Danio rerio: one gene and its partners. The protein of the gene in region 1 interacts with the protein of each later gene in a pairwise test. Links are inferred from orthologs where the notes say so. Each region holds a gene or a part of one and is shown on either strand. Other genes may lie near its edges.

What was found. The genes of interacting proteins can lie anywhere in the genome.
Region 2: the proteins of kpna1 (region 1) and anp32b interact in binary tests that used the Homo sapiens proteins (3 or more experiments, as listed by UniProt). The link is inferred for Danio rerio from reciprocal best matches to the Homo sapiens genes KPNA1 and ANP32B.
Region 3: the proteins of kpna1 (region 1) and sf1 interact in binary tests that used the Homo sapiens proteins (3 or more experiments, as listed by UniProt). The link is inferred for Danio rerio from reciprocal best matches to the Homo sapiens genes KPNA1 and SF1.

What each region holds. Positions count from the first base shown.
Region 1 is NC_133199.1:24,829,944-24,834,662, forward strand, and holds part of kpna1 (importin subunit alpha-5), read right to left. Parts: intron 4,207-4,719; coding exon 4,070-4,206; intron 3,508-4,069; coding exon 3,394-3,507; intron 3,307-3,393; coding exon 3,207-3,306; intron 3,117-3,206; coding exon 3,022-3,116; intron 2,351-3,021; coding exon 2,219-2,350; intron 832-2,218; coding exon 743-831; intron 667-742; coding exon 567-666; intron 1-566. UniProt on the Homo sapiens protein: Functions in nuclear protein import as an adapter protein for nuclear receptor KPNB1. Binds specifically and directly to substrates containing either a simple or bipartite NLS motif.
Region 2 is NC_133176.1:28,299,365-28,304,883, forward strand, and holds the start of anp32b (acidic leucine-rich nuclear phosphoprotein 32 family member B), read right to left. Parts: upstream 3,559-5,519; 5' UTR 3,392-3,558; coding exon 3,338-3,391; exon of another isoform or gene 1,961-3,337; intron 1,539-1,960; coding exon 1,389-1,538; intron 1,302-1,388; coding exon 1,179-1,301; intron 293-1,178; coding exon 106-292; intron 29-105; coding exon 1-28. UniProt on the Homo sapiens protein: Multifunctional protein that is involved in the regulation of many processes including cell proliferation, apoptosis, cell cycle progression or transcription.
Region 3 is NC_133182.1:22,788,233-22,793,389, reverse strand, and holds the start of sf1 (splicing factor 1), read right to left. Parts: upstream 3,559-5,157; 5' UTR 3,423-3,558; coding exon 3,176-3,422; intron 2,297-3,175; coding exon 2,168-2,296; intron 354-2,167; coding exon 278-353; intron 1-277. UniProt on the Homo sapiens protein: Necessary for the ATP-dependent first step of spliceosome assembly. Binds to the intron branch point sequence (BPS) 5'-UACUAAC-3' of the pre-mRNA. May act as transcription repressor.

The DNA of each region.
Region 1 (4,719 bases):
CAATAATTAAGTTGCATAAACTCTACAGACAAGCTTCTAGTTGTTAATAATTGATGTGCTTTTGGTTAAATGTTTCTAGCTACAGATGTAATGCAACTGTTGTTTGTGTGTTATCCTTTCCTAACAAGATGCTCAACCACTGTCAATGCCAATATAAACCAATACACACTACTGTTCATAAGTTTAGGGATAGTATGATCCATTTATTTAAAATTATATAAAAATACATTGAAATTGTCTAACAGTTTTGTTACATTTGTGTTAGAATAAAATAATTGTTTTGCTTTTAATGTTTTAAATCGAATTTTTTATATTTATAACAATGCTACATTTTCAGCAGCCATTATTCCACTTTGCAATGTCACGTGATCTTTCAGAAATCAATAATATATGTTGACATAATGTTGAACGAATATTCTCACTGTTGAAAACAATGCTGCTTAATATTTTTGTGGAAACCATGATATATTATTTAAGTAACATTTATTTTAAATTTGCAAACTACTTGTGCATTGTTTAAAAAAATGTATTGTACAGATCTATTAAGATCAAAACAAGACTTTTACCTTGGCAAAATCCGGTGGTGGATTTTTCCCTCTGCACAGGTTAGACAGAGCCCAGACTGCGTTTCTCATCATAGTCAGGCGATTTTGTTTGGCCAATAACCTGCAATAAAAATCAGCACAATCAGAACAGCCATTCAAAGATATGGGTGCTCTAAAAAAAAGATAGTATCACTTACTGTACTAGAGAGGGCAAAATATTGCAGTCCAGAACATAGTCCCTGCATTCAGTGCTGTCACCGGCGATATTACCTAAAGCCCACACTGCCTGCAAAGAAAAACACAATCACAAACTTACATAGGTCCTATGAATTCTCAATATACAAAAAAGCTTGGAACAGACTGAACATTTCATTTGCAGCTAAATATTTTATTTTTATTAATTTTAAAGTATAAATGCAGTGATGATTTTCTAAAACGAATTAAGTTGAATTCAAGTTTATTTGTATAGTCAGGGTTCATACACATTTTAACTACTAAAATTCCAGGACTTTTCCATGAAGTTTCCAAAACATTCAGGTAAATATTTATGACCTACTGTCATGAAATACACATGGTAAATAAGACAAAACACACATTCAAATTTATTACACCATATCAAGAAATGTGTGACAATCTATGTAATATGTTTATTTTTATATTAGTGAAACAGTTTTTAGAAAATATCTTGATGTCTGTATGAAAATTATCTTTTGGAGAAATCTCCGTGATTTTTCCAAAACATTTTGGGTTTATTAATTTTCCTGGACCTGGAAAATGACCTGACAAAATTCCATGACTTTTCCAGGTTTTCCAGGATCGTATGGACACTGTATAGTGCTTTTCACAATAATCATTATTTCAAAGCAGCATTACAAAAGGTGTATGTTATTGCATAATAATCAAAATCAGAAAAGTTAAGGTTAATAGTTACCATAACTTTATTAGTTGCTGATTACTTAAATTAACTAGTAACTAAAAACTTTTAACAGAAATAAGATATGCTTATATATAAGCATAATTAACCTGCAGTTATATAGTATATAGTAAATGAATAAATTGCTTTTGTCTCCTACAGATGAATCACGACTAGGTTTACTTTTTAGGATTTTATTGTAACATGTTTGAGTATTTCGGGCTTGTATGTAAAAACCTAGGGCTGGGTGATTAAAGAAAGATTTAATGCGCATTTTGTCAGTAAAGCTGCTTCTGCAAAACTTCCAGGACGATTTCTTTCAGATGGAGCAGCATTCCCTACACCAAGTTGTAGTTTATTGACAAGAAATTGAATAAACCTTATAAAAATGACATTAAGATAATCGTTCTGCTGTTTGTGTAGCTTCTCGGTGAACTACAGCTCTGTATAGAGCGGCACAGAAAAATTCTATATATAATAATGCCTTTTATTGTACTCCAAATACACTTTATAACAGTCGAGTGTTTGAAATAAATTCTTTTGTGAGATGATTTCATAGTCGTGTGTTAATTAGTCATGCTGATTCAAAGCAGTTAAATCTTTAGGCTAAAATGAAAACCTATGAGAATTTTCTGGTTTCTTCATCGGGGGGTGTTTGGAGAATCTGTGAGAGCGCCCTTATAAGATATGCAATTTAATTTCATTTAATTGCCCAGCCCTATAAAGTCCCTTGTAAATGTCTATAGTATGAGATGCTTACTTGCTCCTGTACATCTTCAAAATCTGAGCTGAGCATCTCAATGAAAATGGGCACTGCCCCAGCCTGGATGACCACACGCGTCTGGTGGGATGTTCCTGAGGCGATGTTAGTCAGAACCCACGCTGCTTCAAACTGCACACAAAGACAAGACGTCTGTCACCATTCTGCACAAAAATGTTCACTAATGCACCATTCAAGAGCTGATGGGATTAAATAAAGATTCAGAGAAGACTTGCAGAATATACACATTCCAGGAGTGTGAGCATGTGCTGGGAGAGACTCATGCTGGATGACTCACTGGCTCACTGCTGCGACTTGGGGTTTTCAGTCTAGCAGGTTTTTTTTTTTTTCAATTTGTGAAACAAATCTTGATTTGATTCAGTGAATATAGATTTCACAATCAGCAAACACTATTTCAGATACATGTAATAAGAATTATGAAATATAGCAGGGCATTTTCAAAAATAGTAGGCCCCTTCATAATGAACATATAAACACGGAGATTCTAAATAGATCAAATAAATTCTACATAAATTTAAAGATATGAAACCTCCCCTTCTCATCAGCAATGAGTTTTTGACTTTTTTTACATGCTCTTGGAATGAAAACGATTCAGTTCACAAAACAAAAGTCAGAACAGTTCCAAAAGAGTTTTTATTTTCTTTCTTAGGCTGCTGTCTTTTTAATACCTTACATAAATAATGTGTCTTTCTCTCTTGATGCAACATACTGTTTTAATATTTCCAAAGAAAAGAAATATATAAAATCTCTTGGGATTTTAATATTCCTTAAATATCCATCACCTGTAGTGTGCAGTTCTCTCTTCTTTTCAGGAACTCAACAAATCGCTCCACGACACCAGGGGTGGCAATAACCTCATCAATAGGGGGATTAGGCTCTAATGGAGGGTTACAAAGACAGAATTAGCATAATTTAGCACTAATTTGATTATGTAAATGCTTGATTTTTAGTCTTTGGGGTATTTCACCTTTAGATAAGAGCTTTCTGAAGCGCTGTGTTCCTATGAGCTGTTGTTCTGGAGAGCTGGAGAAGATCATCTGTATCATGTCTTCAGAAATAACACTTCCCTTTAACGATGGAAAAACAAAAAAAGGCAATTAATTTTTCATCAGTAAGTAAAAAGCTAAGACTAGCCTTCATTTTTGCTGTACTACCGTGATTTGGTCCATATTGTTGGCCTGTGATTCCAGGTATCCGCTGTCAGACATCCCATCATCTTCCAGTGCTCCATCCTCCTCCACTGTGGCCACATTTCTGCGCTTGAACAGCTATAAGAACGTTCAAATTTGTCAAAGTTGAAACTTTATCCCCAAAGCTTCTCTTAAGAGTGCACTTTACTTGCAATTTTATTTAAATATATTTTATTTTTCAATATATATTTTATTTTTTTATTTACAATCAAGCACTCATGCATCTTCACGACTCTTCAAAATGAAAGCTTCAATTGATGAAATTGAAACAGAAATATTGTTGTCCAGTAGAATGTACTTTTCTAATAATAATAATAATAATAATAATAAAATATTTAAAAACATTAAATATGACAAAAATATGATACAATATGATTTTATGCTAGCCCAGTAATAGTTAATAGTGAATATAATACTTTACACTATATACAATACACTTTTATAAATTTTAATCAAACAAATTCAGATTGGTGAGAAACTTTTTTTCAAAAAGACAAAAATTTCTTTTCATTATATTGTCTCAAAGTTCATTCCATCCTTCCTATAAATTTAAGGCTAGTTTAATAATATCTTTATTAGTAAAACCACAAGAGTCAAATAAAACAGAAAAACAAGTCACTCTTATCTCCACTTGACTTACTTGTTCATCTTTCTTTTGTTTTCGAAGTTGCAGGCCTTCTTCCTCCCTCCTCCTCCTCATCTCATCTGTGTTGAGCGATTTGTTTTTATAGCTTTTGAGACGTGCATTGTCCTTCCCTTGACTCATGATGTTGTCTGCTGTAAAGAGACGATCAAAGCAAGATGAGCACAATAGAAAAATCATCAAGACTTATTAAAATACTTGCTTGATCTCTGCTAGATCACAGACCTCTTGAAAAGATCATTTAATGTCACTTGTTTCCATAGGCAGTGGAGACACACATACACACAAATTTTTACATCCTGCATTAGTGACAAAACTAATCTGACAGCAACCTTACTGAAAGGTCCTGTTATGACATTTTAATATACCTTGTTAAATAACATTGAGAAAAGTAAACATTTTAAGAGAAACCTATCCAGAGATTAACTATTCACAATTAGGAACATAAGATGCATTTAGAAAATAAATACATTGAATTTTCTTTTAATTTCATTTCAAGTTTTTAGCTTTTTCTTCACATTACTTTTATATTATTCACAATTAAATATATATATATATATATATATATATATATATATATATATATATATATATATATATATATATATATATATGCACAATATTGGAAAAATCTAACAATGCAATAT
Region 2 (5,519 bases), on another chromosome or scaffold:
TCCTCCTCCTCGTCCTCATCTTCTCCTTCTGTGTTTAAAGTGATATTAATGAACATCTGCAACCTAAAAAACTGTTGGTAAACTGAACCTATCCCTCACACTGACCCTCGTCATCATCGTCGTCCACTCCATCGACCTCTCCATCAGAGTCTGACGCCTCTCGGTCATCCAGATCGTAGCCGTCCAGATACGTGAGCTGTGGAAGGAGCTTGAAGACACTTTCCCGGTAGTCGTTCAGGTTTGTGACTTCACAATTGAAAAGGTCAAGACTCTTCAGATGGTCGAGTTTTTTCTGCCAAAGAGAAAGGATTCATCACAGAACTGTACAACCTCCACTTTGTGTTGATTAATCAATTCTTGTTGGGGGAAGCTCATGTTTTGTACAAAGTTCATGCACAAATTAAAGTCATGCAAACATTAAAGTTACAACATTTACTTTATTTTTTAAAAGATATTTTAGGAAATGTCAGTTTTGTCTGTGTAACTAATTGTACACAAAATAAGTGAAAATTACCAATTATTTTTTTTAAACAAATGTATATTTAAACAAAAAAAAGTCAGCCAGTTTGGAACATGAGGGGCATTTTCCAATTTAGGTGAAATGATTTTAACCCTGTAAAACCTGACACGAATTAACAGTATAAAAATAAAAAAAAAATCAACATTTAGTAAAAATTTTAAAGAAACATTCATATAGAATTACACAAGTAAAAAGAAAGATCAAATTAGCAACGAAAATATATAAAAGTAAATAGTCTTTGTAAGACTTAATTTTTTTTTTAAAGATCAAAGCTCTGTGTATAGACATTTTTAGAATGGTTCAATTGGTACATAGAAAATGAAGTAAACCACAAGTTGTTTCAATCTATTAAGTGTTTCTTGAAATATTTCAAACTTTTAAAAAATTAATTTTAATATTTATCAATAAAAAAGTCTTTAAAATAATGTAGCAAAAAGACACTTGTAGACCCTTGATAAACAATCGAATGAAAGGGATGCTGAACATTGTGCACATCACATTTTATATTAAATTGTACATAACTTAACTAACCTAACTATATAACTAAATAATTTATATAATAATAAATAACTAAAATTTATAAGCTGTGATGCAAGTTAAGCTCCAAATTTCAACGTGTAAAACCATAATCTAGTTTGAAAAGGAAGTGTTTACAAACCAATGGTTCCAATGTGCTGATGTCTTTCAGTTTGTTGCCGCTTAGGTTTAGATGTGTGAGATTGGGGAGTTTTTCAGCTAAAACGTCAAGGCCACCAGAGATTCTGTTGTCGCTGAGTTCCAACTGAAAATAACAATACATCCATATCAAAACATATAACATTGTGCACATGTTTGAAAGATGGTAAACAATAAGAAAACTTTAAGTTACCTTTTTTAGTTTTCCGAGTTTAGGAAGGTTGGATACTGAGAGCAGACCAACATTTATCAAACTTAGAAATTCAAGATTAACAAATTCTGCTGTGAGGCCTTCAATTTTCCCTTCATTTGATCTGCAGTTGTCGAGGACAAGTTCTCGTACCTAGATTAAACAAAAGGTAAGAAATAAAAATAATAATAAAATACTGTTTGCAATATTAACAGGTTTCACCTGTAATAACCATAACAATCATGATTCAAATAAAAAAAAAAATTTATGTGACTTTTGCAAAAGGGGTGTTGGACACGTTGGCCATAAGCATGCCATAAAAAGGCGACAAACTATGCAGTTTTTTTTCTGATAGTTTCTTAACCAGACAAAACAAAGAACAGTCTTTGTAAACACAGTCTTAAAGTGTGTTGGGGATTTTGACACTGTGAGTGGTCGTAAGCTAGTTCGATGAAATTGTAGTCAAGAAACTAAAATGAAAACCACTGAAGGCTGTTTGTTAAGCGGTTGCTGCTGCTGCTGTTGTTGTATGGCCCTATGGCTCAGACTGTCGCAGCGAGTCGCCAATGAGAAAACAGCAGATTACACGCCGACAGCCAGACAACATGGACATATATCCGAAAGACACCGCCGTGTTTTGTTTAATTTCGTTTGACAAACAACAAATGGAGGGCATTTAGGAGCTCGTGTAAGATGGAAGCGATATGTCGATGGCGTATTCCTACAGCGAAAGACGAAGACAGAGCGGAAATTAGTGAGACAAAAATGGAGAGTTTCTTTCTCTCATGACAACATGGCGCCTCCTTGGATAGCTTGTGTTGCTGAAAAAACAACACATTAAACAAAAATCAAACGCTGCGTTCGAAAAACGTACTATAAGCTTCCGGCTATCAGGACAATATTTTACGCGATGTTTGGTGGATTTTAGAACTGACCAAACATTTGTACCGGTTTGTCATATCAAGTTAGCACATGTAACGTAACGTTAGCTTCTTTTTCCTCAGTCGCTGTTTTGGTCTCTACAAGTGTTATTTTATACTGTAGATCATTTAGACGTTTAAAAACAATCAAAGCGATCATTTATCTAATATAATGGTTAGCGTGATCGGTAGTGGCGCGTGGGAAGTAATGGCGGGAATCGGCGTCTCGCAACAGCGAGTAACAATTTAACGAATAAAACCCAACACGAGCTTTTTAATGAGTAATACATGCGTTCATGTTGCACGTTTTAAGGTTACTTTAGAGCATCTCTAGTCAGTCAGAAAAACTAAACTTTTCAAAAAAAATTTGTTAATTCATATAATCGACAACCATGTTACCCTTTAGAATACAATTCATATCGCGACTGCATGTTAGTCAGACTACACATTTAACTTTATTTTTTAATTGCCTTTCCTGATATTTTTATTTTTAGTTGAAAGAATACATACGCCGTAGAGCGATTAAGACCGAAATGTTACCGTATTTACGAAAATTTGTTAGCGTATGGTTATCTTCACAGAATATCTGATTTATTGCTTTAGCTTTTAAGTGCCTGTAATAAAGGGCGCCTCATGTTAGCAACAAACATGGCCACCGCGGCGAAATAAACCATCCCATCCACATCCTACCACGCCGAGGTTAAAATAAGCAGATATGAAGTTTAAAAAGAATACACGTAACGTATCCAGCGTGTGGGGCTTAGAATACTGCAATAATGCCTTCATTCAGCTTTCCAAACTAAGTAACGTTGCTGAGTGTACCTTACTCAGCCTGGTTCCTTTCATAACAAAATGATACGAATAAACATTAATGCAGTAGATGTACGCGCAGCACTTTCTCATTTAACTCTGTACCAGGGGCATTACACCCATGTGCTTACCATTAAACTACACACAAATCCGTGGAAGTAGAAAGTAGCAAGGCTAGCATGGCTGAGCACAAAACTAAAGGTTTGCCTCAAAATTACTCACATCAGATGGTGTCCTGTTCCTCAGCTCCAAATGAATCCTCTTTTTCATGTCCATTTCGCCCCTTAAAAGTTGGACTCTTCCCTCTTGGGTTCTGGAGGAATTTCTGTTCAGCCCAAAAGGTAGAAAGATGCCTAATGGAGGGAGAATATGGGACTGTATAATGATCTGAGCCCAGCGCCAAGTTACTCTGGGAGAGCAGAAACCATGGAGGGAAACGGCGCTGAAACTAATATATACTCAATAGCGCCATCTCTGGCCAAGCGCCCCCACTGCAGTCGAGTATAAGATCAAACACTGCTGCATTACAGTGTGACATGAAAAGATTGTCTCAATTTGATTCTTTGCACTATTATTACTTCATACTGTTATTGGTTGTAAAGATTACTTACAGTTTTATTTGATGTCATTTATTGTATTAAGAATAAAAAAAAGTTGTGCTGTACATTTTACCTTTTTTAGAAACCTTGAATAAGTCATACACTGAACTCTGACTTTTTTGAAAGACTGAGGGTTGAAATAACTTCTTTGTGTGGTTAAAGTGTGCACATTAAAATAAATCAATCATTAAAATAAATCATGCGTTATAATGTGACACTGTCATTAAATTTCAGTCAGCCAATAATTTATTTTAATATTAATGTTAAGTTTTACTAAAGAAATAATTATTGTTAAAAAGAAGACTCTCCCTCCATCAGCCATATACACATTTAAATACATATTTTAATACTTAATTCAGAATCTTTAATCACACATTAACAATAAATCGTGTTCTGGAAATCAAAGGTATATCACTAAGTATAACTCTTAGTTTTTTAAAGAGTTTAAAGTCTTCTAAAGTAATCTTTGTGTTTTATGATTTTATTATTTTAAATATAATTATGTACTTTATTTACTGTTATATACTGAGTCAAACTGAATATCATGATTTTATTGTTCCAAAGAAACTTGGAATCTTCAACAAGTTGCCAGGAGAGGGCATCATCTTGTTTTTTTGCCTCTACATTGTCTCATAATTCAGGTCTTTCATATTCTTCAGTATGGTGAGAAAAAAAATATAACAATGGACCAACTTCAAGCATAAGCAAAATATGGCTTAAAAAAAACAACAGCAACTCCATTGTTAAAAACTGAACATTTATGTAATATTTAGGGGAAACATATGAGCAAGCTGTACAAAAAAATAAAAAAACTGTACAAAAACTGATAAAATCACATCCAGAAATGAGACATTTAGAAATTTGAAAGCATAAATACCACAAATGTACAGAATTATGAGAACCCCTAACCCAGTTTTAGCATGCCTTGTATGGCAACATGATAAGAGATTTGTAATTGTAGTGTCAACTGTTTTATTATTAAGTCCAATAATCTACACAGTTGTAAAATGGCCAAAGAATGAGCCTGTTTTGTACAGTTTCCAAACATTGTTCTTTACTCCAGTGCTCCAGGATAAAAAAAAAAAAAAAACTCAAAATAAACAGCAAAACAGAACCAGTTTCAAAAATCAAACCCCTTCCATGACTTTTCTGACTACAGCAATCTTTGAACATTTACTTCATTCTACAAAGAACTGGAGGCTTTTTCTTCTCAAAGAATAATGCGATATCCCACACAGAGGTTTCAACTGTTCTGCAGGCGCCTTGCTATTAAAATGCTGTTCGGTGTTAGTGTTATTTTGGATGATGAGATAACCACATTACAGCACTGGAAGATAAGAGCTAGCATATAACTTTTATAAAATTCAATAGAAAGTAATGGAGTTATTTAGAATAAAATAAACAATTTAATTTACAAATAATGATGAATATTTCTTTCATTAAGTGTAGCACTGTCTATCTACATGGCGGGAGAGCAGTCCCAATCTCAATGTGTTTTGACATGATTGTGAACACGCCCAGAATGTGAGGGACTGCGATAACATAGTTATGGCAAGAGCAGGACTTTTACTACACTTTTGAGTATTCAAATAACATGGAAATTCAGAATGCAGACACAACTTTAATGTTAGCCTTTTGAAATTCGCTTTTAAAACAGATTTATTGTTGTTGAATTTTTTAATTGTCAACAAATAAATATTGATGTGTACAGGACAATGTTAGAAGAATGTTCATTCAGAGAACATTCCCTGAAATGATTATCCTATAGAAAACTTTAATGTTAATCAATTTTACCTGAAATATTC
Region 3 (5,157 bases), on another chromosome or scaffold:
GTGACCCTTTAAAAATACAAAAAGTGTTTAAAACACTGAAAAGTTTAGGTTTGTAATACAATCTATTTAATTACAATAAAAGAACTTTCAAAACTCTTCAATTAAGAGGCAAAGATATGATGTCAGTTAAAAGCAAGGCATTTAAACTTATTTCTGTCACTTAATTACTTACCCCTACATAGACACTAGTACACTTACGAACTGGGCTCACTTAAATTGGCGCATTGAAAAGGTAAAGAAAATGTTACTGTTGGTGGGTTTAAATCGTTATTCCGACCTGTCCTCAGGGTTAACAGGGATTCCCAGGTCTCCTGTACGCAGTTTACGTGTCAGGTCTTCAATCTGCAGTTGGACTGGAAGAAATCAGGTTAGGAAAGAAAAAAAAACAAGGATGGAGAAAAATGTGGTTAACAACAAAAAGACCCCACAAAACCAGAATCAGTACACTGTAAAACTCAATGTGACTAGGGTTAAGCAACAAACAAAAAATTACCATGGTAAATTGACAGTTCACTAAGAATCAAGGTCAAGTAAAGACATTTGATCCTCTGTAGTATTTTTTCTGAAACACTGAAAGCCCGACAGGAATTCTGCAAAGCATACTTCGGTTTAAGCTTGAGTGTATTCTCATGAGCCCATTCCCCAAATAATCAGAAATTCAAGTTTCAAATGTTCAGCCAATTTTAATTTCAGAAACCTGAAGGGATTTCAGCAAATAACAATTTCAGAAAAAGATCATAGCAACAGGCTTTCCATTTTATGCCACCAACTCTGAGAAGTAAAATTCACATTATGCATATCCTTAAAAACATTAGTTCACATGAGCTAAAAAGGTGGCAAAAACATGAAGGCCTGTCGAGGGGGGAAAAAAAGTTGTGTTTGAAGAAATCAAAAAACATATTGGCTAAATGGCTTGAGCAAATGCATCCTCATATAAAAAGTTATAGAATAACACCAGCGTAATGAAATTAAATTACTATGTTAAAAAAATAGTCATTAACACTGGGTGTGAAAAGCCAATACATAAACAATTACATTCAACACTCAAGTTATTGACACGTCAGCAACTTACCAGTAGTTACAAACACTACTCAATTAAGTAAAATCCAATATTTATAAATAAGTTCTAAGACAAACAGATCAGCCTTTAGCAGGTCGTTTTATCATGCAATTTATTTTACTAAGGCCTCAAGCCACGCCAACCAAATCAGCCTGTACAAACCCAAAGACTGACCTGTAACCAACCAAATTACTGCATCACTCATGGAAGCATTTCATGGGCTTTCACATGCATTTCTCTATGACATGCTTAAGAGAATCGGACCCCACATTGAATGGTGCAGGTTGATGGTGGGTAAGAGACATGAGGTGTCAGTTGTCAAAAGGAGGAGTAGTTAAAGAGATGTAGGTCTAGGTCACATTATAGTCGAAACAAACACTACACCACATGCTACTGCAAAACAAGTGCCTGACAGCAATGAGAAAGCAATTTACTACACACTGCTTTCAGACACAAGGGGATGGAGATGACTTTAGCAATTCAGTATCGGACCTGCATTGCTTTCGCAGTCGAATTGGACGAGACATTTTTTGCATAGTAAACATGAGCAGTGATGGAGTTCTGCAGCTGGAGACAGTTCACAGCAAGCAGCAACATCAGAAAACACAGTGGGTTCTTGCTAATGGACATCAGATGGTATATGCAAACATTGACAGTGCTACCAATACCTCAGTGTGTCCTAAACGAACAAAAATAAATAAATGGCACTCACATTGCACATTGATGGAGTTAGTGCATTCTAGTAAATATGGGGCAAAGTGCTGAATTTCGATGGATTGACTTCTTTGAGAAGACCATTTCTATAAAGTCATTTGAGACATATAGAGATGACCGTTTTGAACTGTTGCTTTAACATAAAGGTTCTTTCACTAATTTGACATCAGTTGTATCAGCAAAGAAGTCAGACTAATGAAATTAAGCAGTTACATCCTTCATGTGATGTGCAAACTGTGAGAAAAAAAATTATAAACAAGTTTTGGGACAAAAAAAAAAAAAGTGACTTGTTTGGGTGTAGACAGAATATTCCCCCGTTCACATACAAAATTATTTGCAACCTAAACTCTATGACTCTGACAGATGTTGTAATAGCAAATTTTAGATATTCACCTATATAAGCTCGTTCTTGGTCCCGAGTCAGCCCAGGAGGGATCACGGTGGGCATGCCCGGGATAACAGTCTTCTGATCAGGGGTCTCGCTGCTCCAGCGACTTCTTTTCCGTTTCTTCTGTCCAAAATCTGACAGGGGATGTAAACAAATTAAGCCATTATGTCTGATTTGTGGATGTCTAAAGCCTGTAAATTAAGACCAAAACTTCACAGAAACGTTCACCATGTCTTTATGATGCAAAATGTTTAATTTATTGAATTATTACACTTTTAAAAAGTAAACATAGGATTTTTTCTTTGATTAAAAAGAAATTATAAATATGAAGAGTTCAGATGCAAAAACCTCTTAAGTGCCGTCTGAAATTTCCATCAATTTTTCACCTTTGCCTCTCTTGTTTATGTTGAAATATTTTACTTTAAAGACCTGGAAAAGGACTTATTCTTTGCCATAAAAGTGATATTACGAAACATACTAATAATTTAAGAAATATTTAAGACAGCATTCTAAGGTTTTTAGCAGTTTAAGCAAGCAGTTTGCTGCTAAATGCCACGTTATATTAACTTAACATCGTTAGCCATATAAACACTGCAATGTAATAAACATCTTTGTTCAGTCTGGGCATGTACATTTGCTGTGTAAAAGCTCCCAACCCTTTTTATACCATATTATGCACTAAACTGAAAAAAAAAAATCTATATTAAAAAAAACAGTGTGCACTTTATTGTCTAATGTTAACACTGCTCGATTTCAAAACAATAGATTTTTCTGCATCATATTTCATTTCAGAGTTCAGTGTTAAATACAACACAATACTTTAACGTGTAACGTTAGATTAAGTTTTGATCCCCCAAATGAACATGTTAAATAATTACACATTCCAAAGATTTTTAATATGCAATGGCATTGTAAAAACAAGTAAGACTATTAATGACGGTAACCAGCCATTCTACTTTTATAAATGGAGGCCGTTGATCCTGAAGGAGTCAAGGCCTGTCCACGGTGTTTACCTCCGCCTCCCGCTTGAGACTGCTGTCCTACTACGATAGGGTTTGAGAGCGCAGAGCTCACGGCTCCGGGAAACTGCGGGAACCCAGGATTTGATAATTGTGGCGGTTGGAAGTTCTGCAGCGGGAAAGGCACCGAAGGCCCAGGCGGAGGCATTAACCCCGGACCGGGGCCAGAGTCAAAGCCTCGCTTAGCGCCGATGCTCGGGTGCAGCTTACCAAGCGGGGTTGCGTTAGCTCCCGTTGCCATTTCTGGGCGTCAGGGGCTTCTTCGTGGTTCGATATCTGCACAGAATGTATCCGTTTCTTTTGTTGATAAATCAATTGATACGAACGCGTGTCTCCGACCACGCAACCTTCTTCTGTCACCCGCTGGATAAGATGGCGTCCGCTGAGATCGACAAAGGAGCTTTGACGTCAATTTAGAAATATCCGATTGGTCGATAGTCGTGTCAATCTGTGTTTGGGGAACATTCATTGGATCATTTAAGGTCTGTCGTGTTTCCGTCGGAGCAATTTACTTACCTCTCATTGGTCGCCAAGCCGGCCATATGTTCCAGGATAGGTTGGCTCTTTCTGTGCGGTGTGGTCAGGTTGTAGCTAGATCAGATACGGTTATGGCTGGCAGACAACGAAAATTACATTTCCCATATTTTATTAGGGCGACAGTGTTTTTTTCACAGTGGTTAGCACTGTCGCCTCACAGCAAGAATGTCACTGGTTCAAGCCCCAGCTTTGGCAGTTGGCCTTTCTGTGTGGAGAAAATGAGTATAAATGAGTGTATGGATGTTTCCCAGTATTGGGTTGCAGCTGGAAGGGCATCCGCTGTGTAAAACATAGGAGCAATTCCATGCAAATGTCAACCTTGCCATAAATAAAAAAGATTTCGACAAAATAGCAAAACTGTTTCTGGGTTTTTGTGCTTTAAAATACTCAAAAATGTCTCCATTAATGTTTTCAAACTATTATATTTGACTTACCAAAATCACATGAGTGGCAATTCCACATCTGTCACATCAATAACGAAGATTTTGCCTAGTAAATGGAAAAATGTCAAATTAAATTAAATCAATCATTTTTGTTTTATAATGAGCCAACTCTTATCCTTTTGATGAGCATTGTTTCTGAGATTTTACTGCAAATGTCACATCCATAACGCTGGAATTGCTAATTTGCTGAATAAGTTGGTGGTTCTGTCCACTGTGGCGACCCCCGATAAATAAAGGGATTAAATGAACCCTTTAGCTCATGAAAATAAATGAACCCTACCCTAACCCTAAATCCAACCGTCACAGTACTGTAAACATGTTAATTATTGGTATACAGTGTCACAAAAAATGATGATATACATATACACAGCTGTATCTTATCTACTCTTACTGTGCAGGTCAGGTTTTGGTAGATACAGTATGTCTATATGAGTGATAAAATTACATTTAAAACTTAGATTTTATTTGTATTATAGTTTATTTTTTTCCCATTTACACTACTGAGTTACATTATATCCTGACCTTGCTAATTATTCTACATTTGTATAATTCGAACCCTTAGAATTAATAACGGGCAAAGGAGTGGCACAGTAGGTAGTGCTGTCGCCTCACAGCAAGAAGGTCTCTGGGTCGCTGGTTCGAACCTCGGCTCAGTTGGCGTTTCAGTGTGGAGTTTGCATGTTCTCCCTGCCTTTGCGTGGGTTTCCTCCAGGTGCGCCGGTTTCCCCCACAGTCCAAAGACATGCGGTACAGGTGAATTGGGTAGGCTAAATTGTCCATAGTGTAAGAGTGTGTGTGTGAATATGTGTGTGGATGTTTCCCAGAGATGGGTTGCAGCTGGAAGGGCATCCGCTGCGTAAAAAACTAGCTGGATAAGTTGGCGGTTCATTCCGCTGTGGCGACCCCACATTAATAAAGGGACTAAGCCGACAAGAAAATGAATGAATGAGAATTAATAACAAAACAAAAAAGTGCAGTTTTAAAATGCTGTTTAGC